2 linked regions of the Styela clava genome follow. The protein of the gene in region 1 binds, or shares a complex with, the protein of each later gene. Links are inferred from orthologs where the notes say so. Each region holds a gene or a part of one and is shown in the gene's direction. Other genes may lie near its edges.

Region 1 (12,835 bases):
CAACACATCTAATGGCCTCTTAATTCAACTGAATAAAAAGGTCATTCATGAAAACTGCGCAACTCGCGGCGCACTCTTTGGGAAACGCTGTCACAGGCAGCGCCGGATTAACTAATAAACAATATAAGCACGTGCTTAGGGCACCAAGCAAAAGGGCAAACCACAGAAATTTTAGAGAAGAATTTTATATAGTTTATTGATTTTTGTTGTTTTTCCTTCCTAGTATTCTCCTTCTTACTGCATTTTTGTTTTAAAATAATTTCTTTTTTCTCCAACAATTGGACCAATGAACTATTTGCACTATGTGGCGGTTCCACGATCGCATTTGAACGATCTAGTGGTCAGCGAAACCGGGAGTTTTAAATAAACCAGGGTGGTCCAAACCCTGTCATGCTAATACATTCCGTGCGGCTCACAGAACAATTTTAGCGTATATTTGTATCTAATAGAAGAACTTTTTTGAGTTTTTTTCAGCTATTCCAACTGGGGTTGGGATCCCGAGATTCAAATCCTTTTTCTAACGCTTTGTGACTTTATTTTAGTAAAAACACTTCTCTGTTTTCAAGCGTCGGCCATGTGACAGTAGTGACGAAACGCAGAACCGACTTAACGCCGCCCAATCAATTTTTTTTAGCTAGGTCCCGAAATACCAACTTAGACGGACTTCAATTTGAGTTGGGTTGCGCGAGACTAACATCCTATCTTTTCCCTATGCCTTTATGCTAGTGGATCCGTATGCGTATACTGCAAGGATACTGTAGCTGGAATAAACATGACTATTCTATTCAATTAAAGAGTCCAGCTGCACACTAACACAAATGTATTTCTGTAACGTTTCGTCCGACCAGAGTCAGACTTCCTCAGACAAGCAGTTTACAACAATGGCAAGAAAGAAAATTTGCTAAATCAATTTAGCAAATTTTCTTTCTTGCCATTGTTGTAAACTGCTTGTCTGAGGAAGTCTGACTCTGGTCGGACGAAACGTTACAGAAATACATTTGTGTTAGTGTGCAGCTGGACTCTTTAATTGAATAGATTAGACGGACTTCGTTGGTGTTTGACGATGGCACTAAGCTACTAATTAAATGATTAGAACGGTAAACTCTCGTTGTTTATTGAATTTAAAGTAAGTAAACTTGCGATATTTCCATCACTTTTGAGTTTTCTCCGACTTGCGGCTCGCGAGACCTCCTCAAAAGTTTTTGCAGTCCTTCAACCTAGCAACCTTGAACCACTCTGAGGTAGATTACTAGGAACCGGTAAAATTTCAAACTACAGTTGTGACTTGTATGCTTTGGTATTTCGATTCACGTTGAGACCGGAGGCATGGATCTTTATTGTCACACTCCCTCAGGATTAGAGCTCAACGGATATATCGGCCCGATATTGCGTGTTTGCCGATATATATATATATCATATCGGCAGTAAACGGCCGATATATATATATCTGCTAAATATGGAAAAAATCTAAAAATGTTCGCAAAAGTTGTTTTATTTACTGCTGGTTGTGATTTTTTTTAATCGTCAAATACACTTATTAAATTACACATAAAGGGACACCAAAGTCTTCAGTGCTTAGGGCACCAAATGTGCTTAATCCGCCCCTGGTCATGGGTGATAATAAAAAATTCTCATTGTTCCATTTTTTTGACATTCAGCTTTTATTTTTACTCTTCACCATCCTCCTATGCATCATTTTCATTCTACAATGCGTACGAGTTCGAAATGTATAAAACGGGATTTTTGTTTCGTATTCAAAGCATGTCTGCAATCCATTCATGGTCCATCGATCAATACTGGCTCAGGGAAATTTTAGCTACTGCGATTGTTGTGCCTGTATTTTTCACAATAGCTGTGTGTACTCTTTCTTTATGAGTAATCATAAGAGCCAGAACGTACCCAGCACAATTTTATTTTTGTATAATGACGTGATACGATGATGGCTTTTGGCTCACAATATCTTGAAGAATCTTTTAAGAGTCTTACTTCGCCGTCGAAGTTATTCAAGATATAGGCCTACAAGTGCGCAATTCTTGGTTTGTTCATTTGGTGAAAGGATTTTTGCCAGGAAGACTGAAAAAGTCAGTTTTTTAGTGAATCGCTCAAGAATAGAAAGTAAAATGATGTTGGAAAAGACATAAAAATTTATGACTCACTGTAAATGTCGCGAAATTGCATAAAAAAAATGTTGAAAATCAATTGGTGGGGTGGGCTGTGGCTACGCATAAGAGTCATCGTTTCTGTATGGAACGAGCGGACAAATTTTCTTCATAGGCTACTCCGTACGATTTCGCCTACATAATAGTTTCAAAAAAGTGTGTTGTACTTCGATTTTGCTAATGGAAAAAGTAGAATGGAAACTATTTTCTTTCTAATATGCCGATCGTTTGTGGCCGTAGGGCGTAGGCCTACTGTGTGTAAAACGTTTTCAAAACATCCATCGATTATTTTGATAGCGTGTTATATGAATCGTTGAATGACTTACGTCAAAAAAAAATCGCGATTTGACTAGGTCTTATTTTAAAGGGAGGGCTCATATTAAATCAGTTTTAAAATTCAGGCTAGGTCTTATTTTCAGGGTCGGTTTTATTTTCGAGGAAACATGGTAATAATATCTGACCAAAGTTCCAAATATTAGGCCCAGAATTCAAATTTCATTTTGTTCTTGTTTAAATCATTAGCATTCTATTTATAAAAGTTTAGTCTTTTTTTAATATTCGAACACAACTCAATGGTTCTCTCATACACACAGGAGTTGAACGTAAATTAACTGCTGTGTTTCCCCGAAAATAAGACCGGGTCTTAGTTACGATTTTCCTTTGAAAATACCATTAGGGATTATATTCGGGGGATGTCTTATACTTTCATTTTTCAAAAACAAAATTACAAAGTAGCAAATTACGAGATTTTCAAATATATAAATATGAAAACCGATACCAGTTTACTTATAAATAACACGTTTTCCTCTTTCATGCGTTTTAGATTAATCGTTTAAAACTTGTAAGAGACATTTCTTGCTATCGACTAGGTAAAAAAAAAATTGACTATGTCTTATTTTATGGGAAGGGCTTATATTAAAACCATTCATAAAATTCAGGCTAGGTCTTATTTTCTGGGTAGGTCTTATTTTTGGGAAAACACGGTAACATGGGAGTAAGGGAAGTATTTGTGTTGTTGTTGTTCAAAATATTTTTTCCCTCATTGATTTCAACTATAATTTTTTCTAAATATTCGTGGGACAAGTACCACGTGATTCGTGCTTATTATTAATATTATTTACAAAGCGTTGTATGTCAAAATCTCTACACACCCAAAATTTGGAAATATCATTCCTCCAAAAATGAAAAACTGAGGAACATATAGGCCGCGAGCCGAGGCCCTGAAAAACGCCTAGAAAGTGAGTTTCGTAGCGCACATCAGGTAACTACCTGAAAATGATTTTAAAATGTTCCTTAAAAATTTAGTAACAAATATTGCCTTGTTCCCACTTCCAAAAGTTGCACGTTTTACGGAAAAGACGCTTTTACTACAAGAAATATGTGCTACGATCTGTCCTATATTCTCTACATTTTCGGCACTGAACAATGACTTCTGCATGACGTAACAATTGAATTAAACCAGCTGTTAGCGAGCGGATGAATATTAGTTATTTCTGCTCGACCTTGCGCTGAGTTGGGCAGGCTTTCCACAGCCCTGTTTAGTTATTATTAGTTAAGTTATGCTAAGACGTTGTTGAAAAATGTATAAGTAAATTATTAAACACTTGTAGATCCTTACCACGGATATGGGCCGTGAGACGAAACCATGAAAACGCCCAGAAAATGAGTTTCGTAGCGCACATCTGGTAACTAAATAAATTCTTCAGTTTTGTGGGAAAACGAACATAATGAACGCATTACAGCTTGTTCCACAATCCTGGTGCGAAATTGAATATAAGAGGTTCCCGGAAATTCAATAACCATAAGTTTACAACGCATACATAAGAACTATACAATTCGAGAGCCCTACAGCACACTAACACAAATGTATTCCTGTAATGTTTTGCCTGACCAAAATCGGACTTCCTCAGTCAATCATAATTTATTAGGTAGATTACGAAAAATATGGCATACATGTAACCAACAACAAAAAATACTTTAATTGTGTGACAGGAGTCGGGAGTGACCTCGAAAGCAGCGACACCAACAACGCTGATTCACATTTGAGAATGAATTTTATGTAATAACCCCAAGCATTTTACAACAAGAACAGCATAAAAAGCTACATCCATTTTATAGAAGCTATCAAGTATCAAACGTATTTATTTTTAAGCAATGAAGTCACAAATTAACATCGTGAGCACGAAAACACAAATAAATCAGTTATTTCTCACTTAGAAATTTACCGCAAAAATCAAGAAAATTAAATGAATGTACAATATGTACATAACATAGTGAACAGAAATATTACAATTTACAATTAATCTTTTTTTAGTTTATGTGGTTATGTATTTGAACAAAGGCAATAATATTTCTAGAAACAGGACTACGACACTAACAAATGTCCGAAAAAAAAAACAAATGTATGATACTTATTAAATCAACTGTAATATCTAATTCACTTTCTTCTGAATTGTTTTCGAAATCCACTAGCTCAAAAATCGACTTTTCCTCTATAGGTGTACTGTGATTTCTGCAGTCAATACAAAAACAAAAATCTGTGCAATTTAAGTTGATTTTGGCACACTTTCATAAATTATTTTGACTATTTTTCTTTGCAGTTTGCCAACTCAAGAACTGATTTGAGGGCAACATGCTTCTTCAGTGAATCATTGTTGGGTGGAGAGTATAATCCTTATGTTTGACAGTGTTAAATAGACGTGCCCTGGTACCGTATCATTTACATTCTTCATATCCTCTTCAAATTCCTCAGCTTTATTTATTAATACCTCGTTAACCTCAAAAGATCTTCATAGTCGAGGGAAAAAAATGAATTGAAAATCTCAATGAAGTCTCCAACATGAATTTGATGGGCAGTTCCAATTGCAGAAAAGTGCTAAAGTATTTCAATATGAATAGCCCATCTAAGCTGTTTGCAACTATTATGATTCTCATATACCTTTAAGCTTCAAGACTTCTTGTTTAATCCATTTTATAGCACTGATAGCAGCAGGGATCAGAGCCTGCGTTAGGTCGGATTGGTGGAACATTGCCGTTTTCTTTTGTAGTACAGTATCTAAAATAAGGAAGAAAATAATATTTGGAGCAGCATGATTTTAAAAATACCCCTAAATACTAACTAATACCTTGAATACATAATGCATTTTATCTGATGTACTAAATGAGCGTATATATGCTCATTGCATGTTCTACAGTCCAGCAGTGTTTGCATACCATTACTAGACTATATCTACACTAAATTTTGATACCGGTATATCACAGTCTGAAATGTCCTATGACAGTATGAGTATGGACTATAGACTATATTTTGAAACATCAACTGTTTGTCTACAACTTCATTTCTCACCTCTCAATCATTTCCAATGCTACCTTTCTTTCCACTCCGGCATAACTTATCATTGCTTCCCAGGTTCTTGTCGACTCTATGAATTTAGATTTAGACCAACCGACATTAGTAAAATTGATTAATTTCTTCTCTTTCACACAACCGTGCATTACAGAAACAGCCATTCATTTCTATTTCCAAATATGCTGTGGCCTATATAGTAGTATAAGTCTGCTGAATAGTCAAGAAGAGTCATTAAATTAATCATAAACATTTCATGCAAGCCAGAAAATATCGTTGTTTGTGACATATTACAGTATTATTCTAGGTCTAGCCTTCCTTGGAGTTACCGCACCGTACCTATTTAACAACGTCTTATGAGCTAGTGCTCAACTAAAATTGCTATTTATGGCAAGGATATACAAGTGTTTAATATCTTACCTATACTTTTCAACACCTCCTTAGAATAACTGGACTAATATTACCGGTAACTGAAAAAAACTATGGAAAGGCTACTCAACTACTTGTGTAATAAAATGTTCCACTCAATTTTTCTATCTTATGAAGTTAATATGCTAAGTTATTAGCTCTTTTTCATCAACCTTTGACCTACCAACGATATCTCAATACTTTCCTATTGAGATCCCTGGCTAATCTATGATAAATTAATCCATTTACTACCAATTAGTGTAAAAATCTGGATAAATGGCCTTGATTTATGAATTGTTCTATTTCTATGTACAAACACTAATATTTGATGTTTATTTTTAAAGTGTTCTGAATCATTTCACATAGTGTTATGAAATATTGAATCTTATTTATTCCTACATTAAGTCAACTGTTTTGTTTTTGCATTAACTTTCTTGATATTTTAATATCGATTGTTTGTTTATACAAAGTTTACAATGTATTGCATTTTTAAAATGCATTTTTTTGTTGTTTAAACCAAATTCTAATTTGTTTTGATGACTCAACCCATGCATCTGATTACATTGCACTAGTGTGTGTAGAATAGAACTCTACCCATATTCGCTTGTTCAAAATCCCACTTGTTATGTTTAACTTAAATTCAGTCAATAAAACAAGTTACCCAAATAAGGGGTAGCTTGTCTGACCTGCTTTCCCACTTTTTTTCGTTTTGATCATTTTATATTTTGCAATATAATTTCAATTTGTGCAAAATCCTATTATTTAAAAGAATGCTTCCATAATTAAGAATAGTAAATTCATGTAAATATTGTACATAGTATAAATCGTGAGAGACATTGAAATATTGACACGAACCTGTTTTTTTTATGCTTATTTAATATAATTGGGTGGCAACTGACTCTGATGACCCCCAAAGGTCGTATCGTTGCCCCCCAGTCATATACCGAAAACTATTTTTTTTTATATTTGTTTATGTGTGCATAAATTGTTTTCTTGGTTTGACAAAATGAAATAAACTCTCTCTCTCTCAACGCAAAAGCGAGCAGTTGAGTACATCTGATATTCATCCGACCACTGGGGATCCACCTACAGCTGACTAACTTGACTGTTACGTCGTGCAGAAGTCTGCGTTCATTGGCCCATGATACCGGAAAAGCAGAGAAAATAGGACAGATGGTAACACATATTTATTGCAGTAAAAGCGTCTTTTCTGTAAAACGTGCAACTTTTGGAAGTGGGAACAAGGCAATATTTGTTACTAAATTTCTAAGGAACATTTTAAAATCATTTTCAGGTAGTTACCTGATGTGCGCTACGAAACTGAAAGATAAATGGCCTCGGCTCGCGGCCTAATACTGAAGTCGAAGAATCAACATAGATATTACCGAAAGTCTTTTTGGTTGTTTTTGTGATTCTAAGATGATTGAAAATATAGGCCGGCCTATTTGTAGTGTTTTTTTTCAGCCATTAACCTCCGTACTTTTCAACACTATTATGTAATAAAGAAAACAATAACTCATCAGTTGTGTCGTCATTAGGCGTAAAGTCAATTGTTACATCATAGGAGTAAAGTTTTGAATGACCTGATATTACCGTAGTCTAAATTTTTGGGTTGTCAATGTCGAATGCATTTTACGATTTTGTAAACAATATTTATAAGATGAAGAAATTCCTTTCAAGTTACCTCTCGCCATAAATATTGCAACGCAGAGTCGCCATCCAGCGTTGCAATCGTCCGACATTTTCTCCTTACGTTACGTACCTGCTGGGAAGAAAGAGAGATCGGCCTGGGCAGCGTCGGGATTGGCGTGGGGAAATTGGGTCTCGGGATAATTTAATTGACGTCTAAATAAAGGTGAGCACTAATTTACGTGTAGGTTTACGATATAGAAGTTTTAACGTTAGTCCACAATAGTAATGGTTTGTTAAACTTTGTCCCTCTTGTATTAAACCTGAAACAAAGTGCTGTGGTCAAGTGGGGATTACAAGATTAGGATTAACACGTGAAAAAATTGTTACCGTATGCTACGCCTACTACATGTACTAGAAGTACATCAGGTACCGTACGAAACTACATGAGACCCCTGTAGTCTGAGTGTCCATTTGCTGAGTTGTGTGTCTGACTCAACTGTATGAATTGTTAATGTTCTTGAAACATGTAAGATTCTGTAACATGGAATCTAAGTTCTGAAGGTACGGTACCGCTGTACCGGTACCGTACAGAGCTAAAATGTCAGAATGTTGGAGTTTGAAAGGGACTACAGGTTATGTCTGCATGTAGTTTCGTACCTACAGACCTAACACAGTAACATACTTCTAGTGGGCGTAGCATAACATTTTTTTCACATGTCAATCCTAACCCCCACCTTATTACGCCATCCAAAAATTACGTCACTACGACGTCACAGTGCAGCAGTGAGGTAATGGAGCCTTTCATACTATTGAACTATACCGGTACGAACTGCCATCCAAGATGCGCAGACGACCACCCGAAATCGAACTGCTGTTTCTCTCGTTTTCTCGACGCTATGATCCCAATAGGAGAGAGATCGATGAAGTTATTCAGTTCTTTATCGTCATCGCTGATGCCATTTCGGACGATCGGACGTATATTTGGCAAGTACTATGATGGGATTGTGATGTCGTAATGACATAATTTTTGGATGGCGTAGTCGAATGGGGGTTAGGATTGACATATCAAAAAATTGTTATGCTACGCCTATTAAAAGTACGTTAGGTACGAAACTACACGAGACCCATGGACCACTTCCAGACTTCACTGCCACTGCTGACCCTACCACTTGGCATAGTCTGGTATTGCTGTAGTGAGAATCATTGAAATTTTGAAATGTGGCCCATACAGGCCATAAATTGTTTGTGTTTTGTTTAAATTGAACTAGTTCAATCTTTTCACCACAATCTGACAATTCTCTGCAGATTTTTTTCAACTAATACAACATATGGAAATTTACAAGAACTAACAAGCAAGTTGCAGCAGAAGAATTTACCAGCAAACTAACATTACATTCAACATTTTTACATTTTGATTGTGTTGGCAATTTTTTAAGGTATGTCAAGTATGCTAAAAGCAGTCTATACATGTTATCCACATCCTGTGTCAATTTTTATTCATTCTACTCATAGCTTGCCCATCCTGAAAATTATCTTGCTCATTTGACTTAGATTCAATACCATGTTGAAGGATCATACACAGACAACTGCTGAAATTTTTATTATCTCAGGTGGTCTGGTTCCACTGTTGGCCTCAGCTTCTTCCTCAAATTTCTAGATATAAACCAGTGAAATTATCGAAGGATACTACAAATCATTGCTTCACTAACTTAATATTAGACATCCACTTAAATATTTTGTTGGTAAATCACAAAGTTTTGACATTCAGCAGCAATCTAGCATGGCACACCTATTTATAAAAATTGCCTATGAGCTAAAAAAGACAATATGAATAGGGTTCTGCTTGACTAACCAGAATTCCTGACCATGCAATGTTTTCTTTACAGTTTCATCCTCAATTTTGAAATCTGAGCATCTGTCTGCGAACGCTCCTATTTCTTTGTGTAGTGTCAATACATTCTGTTTTCGCTCTTGAAAAATATGTTGTGTCAGTGTTATCTTTTATTGGTGTACTGCACATAAGTGTACTAAACAATACGGATTGATTAGTAATCTAGTTTTGTTTACCATATAACATTGCCTTATACAACCCAGCATATAAAAGGCTTTGTTAGCATTACCATTATAACATACCAGTTTGTATACGCTGTCATAATGTTTCTTTCTTCAAACTCATTGGATTCACTAATGGATGAAAGATCATCTTTTGTGGTGAACTAACTGTTGGTACTTTTTGTAACGAGATATTTATAACATCCATATTATGTACCATAAGTACGTATGTGGATTAGATTGTCATGATCTAATAGCATGTATGGATGGATAGTTCTTGAAACAATGATAAAATTTTATGCGATAGGAGTTCATAGAGCCGAATATGCTATAAAATCTTTTAGTCATGTCATGTTCAAATTAGAAATATAGACATTATACAGTGATGATCTAGATTATCAATCAACTATTTAATATTTTTCAAGGGCGCAGCCAGGACCTTTCCGACGGAGGGATTATGGTGAAACTAAAACATTTCACCAAAAGTACAATTCACGACGACGTAATGCGTTTAATAAACTAAAATATATGGTCATTCACGGATCACGGCGAAATTCCACACCACAGTTACGTATAGCCCCCCTCTCTTTGCCTGGCGGTGTTTGGTGAATATTTTGCAGTCCTGTTTCAAACATTGGCCATTAATCCGTAGTCAGTGGGTACCCACATTTAGAAATAAAACATTTGAAATTGCGAAAATTAATTTTAGAGAGAGCTATAACTTGCAGATGTCAGTAGTATCATAATGGTTTATATGTACAAAAAAACTCTCGTATGTAGCGCTGATCAAATGCACGAAATGTGAAACTGTTACATGGAATTTATAGTTACCGGTAATTGAGTTGATTTTCTGTTGCCATTCAATGATTATTTAATTGCGCCGTGATTAGTGGCGGGTGATCTTATTTTTTGAATTGAGTTATTCGATTGTTTTTAACGAACATCGAATAATGAGTATTGTCATTTTGAACAACATTAAATGAAATGTCGGCCGCCGAAACGATCGTCGTGAAAATAAATATATTGTTTTTTTTGGGATTTTACCAGAAGACTGAAAACTCCGTGACAATGAGGCATGTTTATCTCATAATTTTGTCATAATCGTCGGCAAAATTAGTTTCATGTCTGTTTCATGGAGCGAAAGGAAAATACGCCTTCCGGAATTGCAATCAACAATTACAAATTCTTCTTTATCATTATCAGCGCCGAATAAAAAGATAACTTATCGTGAAGACAAAAAAAGTACGGCGGTGTTAATTGCGTTACAGTGATAACGCACAGAATAGTATTGTCTTGACCGCGAAACCCTGATGCAGGATCGTAAAGCGACGCTTTTGTTTTTTTGTAGATGAAATTTCATATCAAAAATTTTTCTCAAACGGGGGGTTACGACTCATCTGAACCCATGTTGTGTTTAAATATAAATACATAGAATAGAATGATGTCTATATGTTGAAATATAGTCTTTAAGATATCTATAAATGAGATCGCTGTATAACTCTCGCTGCTTCAACGAAATTTTTGCATTGGTACAATGAGCATTAGTTTTTATGCTGATAATGTACCAAATAATAATAATAAACTTTGACATTGAGAATATGAAAAACAATAAGTAGCAACACACATACTTCATACTCCATACTTCTAAACATTACACTCTAAATTTGGCTGGATCATAGTGTTCTGACATTCTAAATTATGTTATTGTGATAAATATATCTGCAAAGTTTAATTTTCCCTGAATGCTGTCAAAGATAATATTTGTTCAGAATTTTTATTACATTTTCATGTAAAGTCATCTTTAAAAAATATTTATTTTAACAATAATAATCTTGTTGCAGTCTTTTTGTTTTGAACTTTTTTAATACAGATTTGATTTGCTGTCACTCATCATAATGAGGATTATATATCTAAAATTATGTTTCTTCAAAACTCAATTATCTGATAATTTTGTTAAAAATATGAACATTGAAAATTATTTTGAAATGAATTATTTTTACAGACATTTCCAAAGCCTCCAATGATGTGGATGAACACGAACCAACCCTCACCCATCACACCACTCGGAAGATGGCCAGATGGACAATTTCCCAATAATCAATCAGTCCGATCAAATTTTGGAAGTTCAGGTTTCACTTATTTGAATTGCATTTACCAAAGTTACATAAGATAAAGTTATTCTGTGCTTTGATAATCATGATTCTTACATAAAATATGAACTTAGTGACATTCTATAAATCAAACAAACTCTGTACTGGTAGTCAAACCTGTACAAGCGTAGCCAGTAACATACTGTAGGTTACTTTTGCCGTTCACTGATAATATTGAAAGACAGCGTCAAAGACGGTGGATTCCAAACTCCAAACAAAATTTCAATTTTTCTTAAATTAGAAATTTGAACCTCAGGTGTCGCTGCTCGATAACCAGCTTTGGTTCCCCGCGATTTCCCTTCTCCAGTAAAAATGTGTAGTGTACTTATCATTTTCTCGTAATTTGTGCTCGATTGTTGTTGATTTTACTGGTTGAGAAAAAATTGACTTGACTTGAAACCAATGTCTCTGTATCGATACGATAGCTGTGACAAACTGAAAAACTTGGATCATTCTGTTTTGTAGCTTTGTATTTCAAACTGAATTTTTCTTGTTGGGAAGAAATCATAGGAAGTCTCAATGATACAAATGAATGAACAATTAAACCATTCACAAATCTATTTTAGCCGGAAGTATTGCTCTAACTACACAGCAGAAGGCTTTGATCACAGGAGGAATCAATAGCAGAAATGAAATAAAAGAAAAACAACTTCAGGTTTTTTATAATAACCAAGTTTTATACTTATTTGACATAGAAAGCTTTATCAGCAAATGCCTACAGGTTTATTCGAGATTCAATAATTGCTATGAATAATTTATTTTGGGTTAATCAGTGTTACCCCTGTGAATTTATGTAGGAGGAAAAAACGATTTCCTGTTTTGAGGTAGGGTTCAATTACTAATGAAATAACTAAAAATTTGGTCTCTGGTTAATTTTGTTGCATTTTTCACAACTCAAATTCTTCATCATCGTCATACTCAAATCCAAGGCGGATCAAAAGTTTACGCAGAAGGAAGAAAATTTATTGGCAAATCTGCGTCTTGTGGCAGACTTGAATCTTTATTAAATATATCATTAAATTATTAATGGTATTATAATATGACTAATTTATATATGGCATATTGATTGTGGGCCAAATGCTCTCAGT
Region 2 (12,364 bases), on another chromosome or scaffold:
TCCTATACGCTGCTCGTTTGGTATTGGGGTATTTTTCCATTGTTATGCTTTTCCATAACTCAATAGATTCTTTCCCTTTAATCGCATTTCATTTGGTCTTTCTAATAAATTAATATCATCATCAACTCGGTTGCAGCCTCACCTGAGACTAGATGGAGTATCAAACAATCCGTCACAGAATTAAATGGATCCGTCGACGGCGTACTCAAATAGTGAATTGCGCGTTTCCGCCGAACTTCGTTTTCGACAGTCGTTGTAGTGCAGTCGTTGCACAACAAGGTATGTAATTGTGACGTAATACTGGACAATTGCATAGTAAGCGAATGAAGGCGCTCGTGTGTCTTCTGCTTAAAAAAAGAATTCACGATGAATCATAATATATTCAATCGAAACATGATGGATCGTAGTTTGCAAGTTATTTTTTCTTAAAATAACCAAGACGAAAAGAGCCGCATGGAACCGGAGCAAGGGCCGCGTGCGGCTCGCGAACCGCAGGTTAGCCATTGCTGGTTTAAACCATTGTTGCATTTGAGTTACACATCAGTGCTACTGGAACTTCAGTTTTAACCTTTTATTAAATTCATTCCGGATCTATTTTTTCATTGGGCAAATAAACCTGTTGAGATTATTGCTACTGTAAACAATAAATCTTAACAAATCAGATATTTGATATGACTGCGTTTGTTTCTACATGATCAACGAAAGCTCTACGGGATTTTATGTGGGTCTTTCATTCAGCGACGCAAACTTTTAATATCGTCACCGTTTTGTATTGGACCGCATTTCAAGTAATCCTCCTATTACATTTAGTTACCATACCCATGGCATAAACGTAGTATTAAGTGTAATTGATTATTTGTAGTAGCGTTTCCAATGCGACTTTTCCACGTAGTGTATCCATTTACTTTTGCTGTCGCCTACGTCTCAGCAACGTTAATTTTCCATTTCGCTGGGGTCACATCAGCTGTTTATTCGATTCTCGATTGGGCGAATAATCCCGGCTTAGCTGCTGGTATAGGAGTTGCTGCATGTACGTTAGGATGCATTATCGGCCATTTTTTCTTTTTTGGACTGTATTCACTACGGGTAATATTGTCGGGGAAGTCATCCAATGTCGCCCGTCCCTCTTCCATAGAATCAAATAACAGCCCAGAATAATAAAATGTAGGAATGAAAATTGTGTGGGTCGTTTTTATTTTCCAATATACTTCAGAGCGTTTTATGAATGTTTAGACTCACACATATAATATTGGTGTGTTATGACACAACTTTTTGTTTTAATTGCCTTTTAATCTCCGTTTTCTTTTTTCCTATTTTTGTTTTTCTTCTACACGTGTGTATTTTAAGATTGTCTTTAAATTTTAAGTATAAAATAGCAGTTTTGCGATATATTTAGCGGTTCAACTACAAATAGTAGCACGTAGAAATATAAGATATATATATATATCAGTAATTGCCAGTATACAGAATAAAACTTCTGCGACAATGGTGTTTTGCAATAAACGATTCTTGTTGAAATATACAGTATATAATATTTTGGGGATTATTCTACTTTGCGGCAACAGACTTTCGGTAGTTGCCATTGTGTAGGACTTTAATATAATAATGAAGCAGATATTTTCATCATATGATTCAATACAAATCTGTCTGCTGAGAAGGAAGCTTTCTCGCCACGAACATTGGAATTACGTGTGGGTAAATGCGGTGCGAAAGTATTGCTGGAAGCTTTGACTTTGCAGGATTGTTTACATTGGCTACAGTTTTTCATAAAATCAAGGTCTATGCTTCCAGAAAAATAACAGGCTAAAGGCTTTGGACCGAGCCACATTATCAAATATTCTATATACTAGCGTAATAAATTCGTTAATCGGAATTTCTCCGATATTTTATATACTGTATGCTTTGTCCTAAGTCAAGGCGAAGCATATAGACAGTAAGAGGAAGGTCTATTTAAATTTTCAACTAAAGTAAAATACAAAATCGGGCTCAGTTTGTAGCAACATTTTGACATATACATAGGCCTATGCAATGGAAAATTTCTTCTTGTCTTAACTATTTTGTAAAAAATCTTCAAAAGTGGCAGTGGAGATGCCCGTAACGAGTCGGAACATATTTATGCTTCCATTAATCAATTTTATTTTGGTATCTATGCAACAAAAGAAAAATACAATAAACAACGGACGATAAAAATGCCGAGGACAGGCATAACTTAAAAACAAAGTTAAAAGACGTACAGGTACGCGCCCGTCCACCAAAAACAGTTAAAGAACGTAATAAAATCGGGCAATGACTTTTGAATGCAGAACAATGAAAGCTTCAGCAAACTGTGCGGGTCGAAACGATAGGAATACGCTCGCCACCGCACCTTTATTTACTCTGCGTGGGTTCGCAGGTTCGAATCCCATGCAGGGATGGTTATGTGCGAGAGGATTGCTGGACTCCTCGCCGTCGTTGGGTGGTTCACGTAACCGCTGGTCGGTTACGGCTTCCTCCACCACCAAGTCCATGCTTCCGAAAACAAACAATATAACTAATCCCATACCCGACTTGGAATGGTAACCGGACGAGAGGCCGTGGTTCGCCATATGGATAAGCCGTCTTATCGGCTTTCCTCTCCCATGGGATAAATATGTAAATCCTATCCTAGTGTACATGACTCCACCAAACTGTGCGACTTTACAGACCAAATTTATCTGATTTCAGCAATTTTTTTGAATTCGTCATGAAAATTCACTAGTCAACTAAAAAAACGCTGTTGTTGACACGTCAGTGGACATGACGATCGTTTTGCATTTTATGCTGGCACTCTTTTTAAGAATTTTAACGATTACAAAAAACGCTTTTCTCTTTGATTACTGAACCAATTGCTTTGGAATTTTCATTGGTTAAAGATTGATTTTTTCACCAGAAGGCTATTACTTTTATTTATTTCAAAAATTTCTGTTAACTAGAGATTTGTTTTTTATGTGTCAGAATAATAAAATAGCGGTACTTTGTGACGTGTTCATATATTTGAGCATAGCTTACTTGTTCCACATCAGAAACTCATCTGAAGTCTAAGAATTACCGACTTTTATACTGCTCAACAGAGCGTGACGACTGCTGCCAGAACCACTGTTTGGGGGGAACGCTGCGATTTTGCTTTGTATTTGCATGTGGTTGGGCGGTAAATGATCCGCGAAATGCTGCACTAAAGTAGGTTTTTCGTAATATTTTAGTGTTTTAAGGTACACGGTGGGCTAGTTTAACACGATATCCGGTCCTCTGACGGTACTGCAGTACTGGTACGGGTGCACCACTACCAGGTTCGATACCGTATCGGTACTCAACTCAACCGACAAATAGACGATGGTACTGTACATGCAACTTAACAAAAGTTGGTCAGTATTAAATTTATATTATTAAAAAGACTGTTGAAGCAACATTTACACACAGAAAGCTTTTCGGAGCAGGTATATAGCAACCCCGTGAAGTTTGTAATGGCGTGGTTAGACGAGCGTTCCCTCGAAATATGTTGCTGGCAGCATCGGTCAAAGGTCATGAAAGTTGGTAATTGTTTGGTCTGGTCCGCCCATATGCTCATCATGTCCGCCCATCCATAAATGCAAGATAACATTATATTTATTTCATTTTGTTTTTGTGGCAATAAATCTCACTCTCTATCTCTTTCATTTATGTGAATGTATGTGCATTTTGATTTTGGATATACGGAAAGATGAATAAATAGCATTCTGAAGCTTATATATAAATAGCATTCTGAAGCGCATATTTGTAACCCAGTTTGTTACATGCAAATTGCAAAGCTCTGTCCTGATGACCCCCAAAGGTCGTATCGTTGCCCCCCAGTCATATATCGAAAACTATTTTTTTGATATTCGTTTATGTGTGCATAAATTGTTTTCTTGGTTTGACAAAATGAAATAAACTCTCTCTGTCTCTCTCTATTTCCAACACAAGGAGCGCAATAGAGCTATATCATCAAATAGAAACTTATGGGCGACAGGAAGTGACGTCCAAAAACGTGACAAACGCAAACAGAGAAAGCTGGTGTGTGGCGCAATCTGTTGCGTTTCGTTCTTTTTATCCAGGTTAATCCGTGTTACAGAAAGCAATTTTGTTATGAGCTTTATAAAATTCAAATACAGGATGTTCGAGGTAGAGGATATAACGGTACCATTTAAATGCGTTGCTTTAGCTGTTTTCGACAATCTGTTATAACCTGGTAGCCAGCGTAATAATACGGTACCGTTACGAAAATTGAAAAAAAAAAAACAGTTACAGATTGTGATGCTTTATTTCCTGTCGGAATTAGCTCAGCTCAGAGCATTAGGCCTAAACGGTTATTCCAGTATGTTATACCCTTACGACGGCGTATAAAAACGTATTGATTTTAGGGATTGGTCCATTCCAGTATTCAGGTACCGGTAACGTTACCGTATTTCCATAATTATGAAAATTTCAGAATTCAAGCTAAGTTGGAAAATACTGAAGTACTGGTACCGGTACCGTTGCTTGGCTAAAGCGTAAAACCAATGATATGTTTGACTAACTTGAATTTATTGCAGTATAGATTATACTGTTATAGCTATAGTCTGAAGGTACGGTACTGAATTATGTTTGTTTGACTAGGTCAGTCCATGGGTTCCTGGGTTCAGAAACTAAATGACACAGGATCAATGTTTTTCAGAATTATGGCTGCATCAAAACGATAAGACGTATGGTCACGGCGTTTCGTGGTATAGAAACTGGTTCCCCAACATTTTAACAAAACATCAAGTTACAAACTAATCTCTCAATCTATTGCAAATCAATTAAACAATACTGAAGTAGACTGATCATGGCGAATGATGTTTTTAATAAGATGGATGAATTTCAACAAAGTTTATTAATATTTGAATACCGGTACATTTTAATCAGTTACCGTAAAAGTGTCTAACTTTATATGTCTAACCTATATAATTATTATAGGTGGTGCTGTTATATGTACATCTATTCTCAATTTTTTTAATGTTACATAATAATTTTTTCGTCAAAAGTTGATTCGCTCAATTCCGAGACGACATCACACTGAGTTGCGGAAATGAATTTTGACGACTGACATAATGGCGCCAAATTGACATTTTTCGTTTAGACAAAGACGGCTTTCCAATGTAATATTTTTGTATTTTGTTCGATCCATGTGTGAATATATGCCAAAATCACATTAATGAGAATATGTTAATCGACGGCGTCCAAAATCGGATAACTTATAAAAACAGAAAAACTAGAAAAATTCCAACGTCCATATTGCACTGTATACTAATTTCACAATTATTCGTTGAATTGAAATCAAAATGGCAGTGATTGAATACAGCCTGGGTAAATTTTCTTCACTCAAAGTGAAAAATTGATTTAATTTTTAACATAAATCCAGAGACATATCTCAAAGTTAACAAGATGAAGTTGAAGATTAAACTTTACAATTGGGTTCGACGTGTGTGATATAAATTTATCACTAATAAAGATAACAGCGTAACATCAACAAAGCTATTCGTTGAGAATATTAATATTTCAAAGACTTACAATACAAGCCTGTTGAGACGTGACTACGTCACCCGCATCAGGAGCCTTTTTTTTTTCTCTTTGTGCGTCGCGGTTACGCAGTGAGGAAAATGACTGTCCGAAGTTAGGCAGTGAAGAATAACGCTCAGATGGCAAGAAAAATAGATTATTTCAAGAGTAAAAATAGTCCAATTTACCCGAAATTTGCAGAGAATGTAAATTACCTCACGAATGCTTTACCGAGCAATTTTTTTGACAATGAATGGTTGAATTATTGACAAAAATATGATAATTTTGGCCGAAGTTAGACACTTTTACGGTACTAAATTTGATGACACCTTTTCTACCAAATAAGATGTTGAAAAAAAAAGAATCAGCAGTTCTACTTTGTTCAAAATGCCAGATAACTTGCACCAAACTATGTTTTCCTTAAATTTTATTTTGTATTCAAAACCAGGAAAGGAAATCCTGATTGAAACAGTCGCGCGATTTCGTCATTCGTTATAATTGTTTTTTTTCAGCGATAATGATTTTTTCTGTTGCGCAAATATTCAGTCCGTGGCCGAAAGCATTAAAAGTGTTTTGCCTTATTAATTTAATCATATTCAACGAAACTCGACGTTGTGCCGACTTCGATAAAATATTAGTATTACTGCTCTGAATTACTACAATCTGCGTACATAAACAGTACATTTCATTATAATTAGAATTGATTCTAATTTTTGCGATCTCCGTAATTTATCTTCGCTATATTTAAGATATCGCCGTTAGCAAAATTTCACATTTCTGATCGAAAATCACGAAATTTTTGCGATTTGTTACCCGCTATATTATGTATATATATATATATTATCACATCGCTTTTTTTACTTAATATTCACTTGTGTTCAGTTGAGAATTGAATTTGCGGATTCAATCCTTAGGTTGTACTTAGTGTCTTGTGTCAGATTATCGCATAATGACGAGTTTATCACGCTTTACGTACAGTTCCGAATGAGAAAAATACTATTTATCCGACGCCGTCTGCCACATGTCCAGGGGAATACTTGTAGGAGAGGGAGGATTCACAGAAATATAAATTACAGACATAATACGGATGTTCACGTCCTAAATAGTTGTGGAAGTTGTTTCTAATGTTATGAGGCGGTATGATGTTCTGCATTGGAAATTGGCATACTGCAAAAACATATTTTCATCTATGGTCATATTCCCTTCGTTAAGAACACTCATTGAATATTTCATGCATTTTATTTTTTCAGAAACTATTGTGTACTGGGTTCCCGGTCACAATTTGTTTGTTAAAAATCCTAAAAACCCTACAAAAAAATTTAAAAAAGTGTCAAAAACACTAAAAAAATATAAAAAATTAAAATCAGATCTGTGACGATCGACAAAAAAGAGGAAAATGAATAACGCAGGACCTACCAGCTACCCAATGGCTTCACTTTATGTTGGTGACCTTCATCCTGACGCGACGGAGGCTATGCTTTATGAGAAATTCTCTCAAGCTGGCCCAGTGCTGTCCATTCGCGTCTGTCGGGACATGGTCACCAGACGTTCGCTTGGCTACGCATACGTCAATTTTCAGCAGCCGGCTGATGCAGAACGAGCTTTGGACACCATGAACTTTGATCCCATCAAAGGTCAACCCATTCGCATCATGTGGAGTCAACGTGATCCAGGACTGAGAAAATCTGGTGTTGGCAACATTTTCATCAAAAATTTGGACAAGTCTATTGACAATAAAGCTCTGTATGATACTTTCTCTGCGTTTGGCAATATTTTGTCATGCAAAGTTTCGTGTGACATGAATGGATCCAAAGGATATGGTTTTGTGCATTTCGAAACCGAGGAAGCTGCACAGCGTGCGATAGAGAAAGTAGATGGAATGTTACTGAATGACAAGAAAGTATTTGTTGGAAAATTCATTTCACGATCAGAAAGACACAAGTTGATTGGCGAGAGACAAAAAAATTTCACTAATATCTACATCAAAAATTTTGCCGATGCTCTAAATGACGAAAAGATGAGGGAAATGTTTTCACAGTTTGGTCCTCTACGGAGTGTTGCTGTGATGCAAGATCCTGAAGGAAAATCCCTTGGATTCGGATTTGTTGCTTTCGAAAACCACGATGACGCTGCAAAGGCTGTTGCTGAAACGAACGGAAAAGAAATTGGTGGACAAGAGATCTACGTAGGTCGCGCCCAGAAAAAATCTGAACGGATGTCTGAAATTCGACAGAGGTATGAAAGACAAAAGCAAGAGCAAATTCAGCGATACCAAGGAGTCAACCTGTATGTAAAAAATCTTGATGATTCCATCAGAGATGATAGTTTGCGTGAAGCGTTTGCATCCTTCGGAACCATAACTAGTGCAAAAGTTATGACTGATGGCGAACGTTCTAAAGGATTTGGATTTGTTTGTTTCAGTGCACCAGATGAAGCAACTAAAGCAGTAACAGAAATGAATGGTCGTATTGTTGGGAGTAAGCCACTCTACGTAGCTTTAGCTCAAAGAAAAGAAGACCGAAAAGCTCATTTGGCTGCTCAATACATGCAGAGAGTTTCCAATTCAATGGGAATGAGAGTTGCTCCTCCAAACCAAATGATAGGACAGTCATTCCAATCAGGTGCTCCTGGATACTTCATGCCAATTCATGGTCAGAGTCGCTACATGCAGGGTCACCAGCTTATTAGGGCAACACCAAGATGGCAAGCTGCCACTGCTCAGCCAGGATTCCAAATTCCTGGAAGCATTCGTGCACCACATGGTGGAGGGCCCGCTATTCGCCCAATGACTGCCCCAGTTTCAGCCAGGAATGGTCTTCAGCAACAACAACAACATCGCATTGATATGCTACAGAGCCGCCAACAGCCAATATACATGCAACAAAATCGACAACCTTTCAAATACAATCAAAGTGTCCGCAACCCTGCTTCGATGGCTGGTGGTGTCAACCAACAAGCCCAAGTCCAACAGCAAGTTGAAACAGTACAGCCTGCTGTGCATGTTCAAGGTCAAGAGCCGCTTACAGCAAGCATGTTGGCATCTGCTCCACCCCATGAGCAAAAGCAGATGTTGGGTGAACGTCTTTACCCACTCATCGAAGCACAACACCCGACTCTCGCTTCAAAGATTACTGGAATGTTGTTGGAAATTGACAATTCTGAATTGCTTCACATGTTGGAATCTAGAGACTCTCTCAAAGCAAAGATGGAAGAGGCCGTGGCTGTTCTCCAGGCACATCAAGCAAAGATGCAGGCAGCAAGTCGACAAGCACAACCTGCTTCTCAGCCTGTTCAAAATCAAGGCATTACCGGTGTACAACAAATCAACCAGGTTAACAACGCTGCTCAGAATCCGGTTCCTGTAGGTGGTCAAGAGTAACAAATTCGAAAGATAATAATCGTCGGTGTTATGTGTGAACTGTTTCGTTTTTAAAAATCATCCTACTTTTGCCCCACAAAAAATTATCCTAATAAAAAAAAAAATTACTGAGCCCCTGGTTTTACGACTTAAATCCAGGTGAAAAAATACTGAAAAATAAAATAAAAAAAATATCAAGAATATTACAAATTTCAAAAACCAACTTTTGACAGTTTTCAACCATTTAACTTGAATTTTCGGAACTCTGACTTGTTTTTTCCATGTTTGCCAAACTGACCTCAAAGATAATAGTAGTAGTTCTTACCATCCCTCAAAACACATTAATAGATCTCTGGATGAGATTTTGATGACCTTGTTTGTTCTGTGTGTCCTTTTCAGGGACTGCTCTAATTTTTTTAAGTTGTTTTAGCCCTCTTTCTCCCAGATTGGTATATGAAAGGATTGTCAAATAATACCAGGGGATTGAGTGTGTTTGAATTTACCCAGAATAATTAAAAAACCAAGAAAAAAATTGAAAAATGATCGAATTTAGTACGAAAAGTAAACTGTTTCTTTTTCGGCCACTCCACTCTGTGTAAATAAACATCCATGCTTGTAAGCTGGTGATCACTAAGTGCAAATTTTATCGTTTTATTCTTGTGGGCTATTAATTAAGATTTGGATGTCAATTATGAATAATTTAATGCAACTATAACTACTAACACAGTAGGGTGTTAATGAAACGACAATACTGTTCAGTGACTACGTCTTTTAGGTAGTTTATTCATAGCTGACTTCCACGATTTCTTGAAAGCACTCATTTGCCAAGAATATACATCAATGTTGTTGTAAATCATTGGTTTACTGTTTGCTCATATATATGGTATTTGAAATTACTGCACAGTGGTGTCTTTTTTTTGGTCTAGTAACATTTCATTAAAATGATAATAGCATGCATCTAATTGTGTCATTTAATTATGTTGGGACTTCAGATTGTAGTAACTTGGAACTACCAGCAAATTTCACCAAGTTTCCAATTTAGTTGCGTTTGCGATGTTTTACACTGGTTGCGCCCTTATCTTGTTTTACAAAATTACCATCGATTGTTTCGGCCATTTGAAGACTCGAAACCGACAATTATAAGACTTTCGGATCATCTAATGTTGCTAGCCGTAGGGCATGAGTTATTGCAAAATACTTATTGACTGATAAAATTTCCGAGAACTTAATCGTCACCGTTTTCGGGTCAAGTAGTTTGTTGACGCTACAATCATGATACATGTATTAGCGTCATCTTGAGAAACCAAGTATTAAAGATACGCGCGGTCAAAATGGCTCCTTGTATTGATCTCGCTGATATAAATGCTTTATGCGAAACAATATTAAAAATCAAATTTCGTATGGTAACTATTCATCGCCGATTAACAAAACGTTTGACAATAGATTTGCTTGTCACGAAAAGTTGTTTGGTTTTTGAAGAAAAGACGCTTGACCATACATACTCCCAGTAAATGTGATATTTTATACTACTGAAATATTTTGGCTTTGTGAAGGTTTGCTTGGCTCTGTAGCCTACTGAAGCTGTTCAGTGAGTGCTTAGTCGTTTTACATGCTGCGTTCCAAACATGGAAGAAGACCTACTCTCAGTAATGTTCAGGATTCAGTGGGTTTATTGACAGGAGATGACTCTGATAACCCAAACTCTATTTTTTTTTTAAATTCTTCTTTCTTCAAATATTCTATTTTTTTTTCGTTTTGTAAACACGTAGAATAAAAACCATAACCTACAATACACAACATAGGGATAGGATAGGATTTACATAATTATCCCGGGGATAGGAAAGCCGATAAGACGGCTTATCCATATGGCGAACCACGGCCTCTCGTCCGGTTACCATTCCAAGTCGGGTATGGGATTAGTTTTTTACTGTATTGTTTGTTTTTTTCGGAAGCATGGACTTGGACTATGGTTTTAAATAATACATCGGAGAATATTTGCGTCGGTGTTGAATTGAATGAAACTGCTCAAGAGTCGCCTAGAGCTGTGATTCTCAACTTTTTTCATCGCACATTAACGGAGAGTTTCATCTTATAGCAAAAATAGTCGCAGAGGTAAGAATTACACAAATGGAAAATGTTTAATCAAGCTAACGTTTGATTGCAACATGTTGTGGCGGTTGGGGTTTCGTGCTAAGCTTTCAAAACATGCTTGCTTAGTTCGGATATAAAATTGTCTATCAATACCATCATGCTTTTGAGTATTTGCATGTACAATGCCATCCACACCTCGTTTGACTCCAGTAATCGATAGGGATGAGAATATTATAGCGGTTTATTGATTCCATGCTGTAAATCCCCAAGGGTCTTGCAGAATGTAACGGAAACCGTCATTTAGTTATGGGCATTAGTTTTTAATCGCCTCGATTCACTCAATAAGGGCCCATTCACATCTGTTCACACCAGTGCGTTATTCTTTAATTGTTTAAGTAAACTTGCGTTGTTGCGTTAACGCATCATTTTGGCGCACTGCGTCAACGCAACGAATTCTCGAGGAAACATTCCTTTGCGTTGACGCGCTGCGTTGTCTGAGATTTGAGTTGAGTTCCGGTGCTTTGTTCTGTGGTTTGGCGATGGCTTTGAGCAAACATCAAAAATTGGGATTACTGTTGTGGCTGAAAAGACGCAAGGATAAAAAAAATAGATGCAAAAGAAGAAGGTGGTGGGTGCATCCTATTTTGCAGAGAAGAGAGACTAGAGGTACGGTACCAGTATTGCAGTATTTTCACAGTACAGCAGTAGGTAGGCCTACCGTACCCCAGTACCGGTACGGTACCGTACCTGGGTACCGGTACGGTACGTATACGACTGCACCGTATTTCTAGCCGTTTGTAATAAACAGAATTTGCTACTTACATGGTTCTAGATTTAACAGTTAACATACCATACTAGCCCTTTAGACCGGTGCCATATTCCAGTATTCAGGTATTTGATCTAGTTCAGTAGTTAAAAAGCTGAAAGGTGTTCTGACAGTCTGGACAGTGCTTATCATAGTACTGTAGTATTACGGTACCCTCTACTGATAGTCTACAGCTCATTTTAGTGCAAAAAGTAGTATTTGAGAGGTTTGAAAATATATATCATATTGAATGATTACCGGTACCTTAACGGGTAATATCTGAATATTGTAACGTTAACAGGCGAGTACCACAGGCTTTTGAAAGAGATGAGATTGGAGAGGAGAAGCTATTTTGAGACCTACCTCCGCATGTCAGTCGAAGACTTTCAAATTTTAATAACTTTAGTTGGGCCTGTTATAAGTAAACAAGCTACAGCATTCAGGAAGCCGATACCACCAGAAGAGAGAATTGCAGTAACATTGAGGTACATTAGCTGATAAGTTAGCAAAAGCGGTTCATTATATCACTTTGTGAAACCAAAAATATGGATGAGCTATTC

The links.
Region 2: the proteins of cold shock domain-containing protein E1-like (region 1) and polyadenylate-binding protein 4-like are in contact, whole or in part, in a crystal structure (PDB 7ZHR), measured with the Drosophila melanogaster proteins. The link is inferred for Styela clava from reciprocal best matches to the Drosophila melanogaster genes Unr and pAbp. Residues at the interface, in NP_648226.2 of Drosophila melanogaster: Leu843, Glu844, Thr845, Thr846, His847, Asn848, Gly849, Val850, Glu870, Ile871, Leu872, Asp873, Glu874, Thr878, Val879, Ile880, Ser881, His883, Leu902, Ile907, Asp908; in NP_476667.1 of Drosophila melanogaster: Asn184, Tyr186, Lys188, Ser211, Lys213, Met215, Phe225, Phe227, Ala229, Tyr255, Ala257, Arg258, Ala259, Gln260, Lys261.

Annotation. Positions count from the first base shown.
Region 1 is NC_135255.1:1,851,516-1,864,350, forward strand, and holds the start of cold shock domain-containing protein E1-like, read left to right. Parts: upstream 1-7,514; 5' UTR 7,515-7,768; intron 7,769-8,850; 5' UTR 8,851-8,981; intron 8,982-11,599; 5' UTR 11,600-11,617; coding exon 11,618-11,726; intron 11,727-12,313; coding exon 12,314-12,402; intron 12,403-12,835. UniProt on the Drosophila melanogaster protein: RNA-binding protein that acts as a regulator of dosage compensation in both males and females.
Region 2 is NC_135251.1:14,960,355-14,972,718, reverse strand, and holds polyadenylate-binding protein 4-like, read left to right. Parts: upstream 1-6,782; 5' UTR 6,783-6,946; coding exon 6,947-8,929; 3' UTR 8,930-9,865; downstream 9,866-12,364.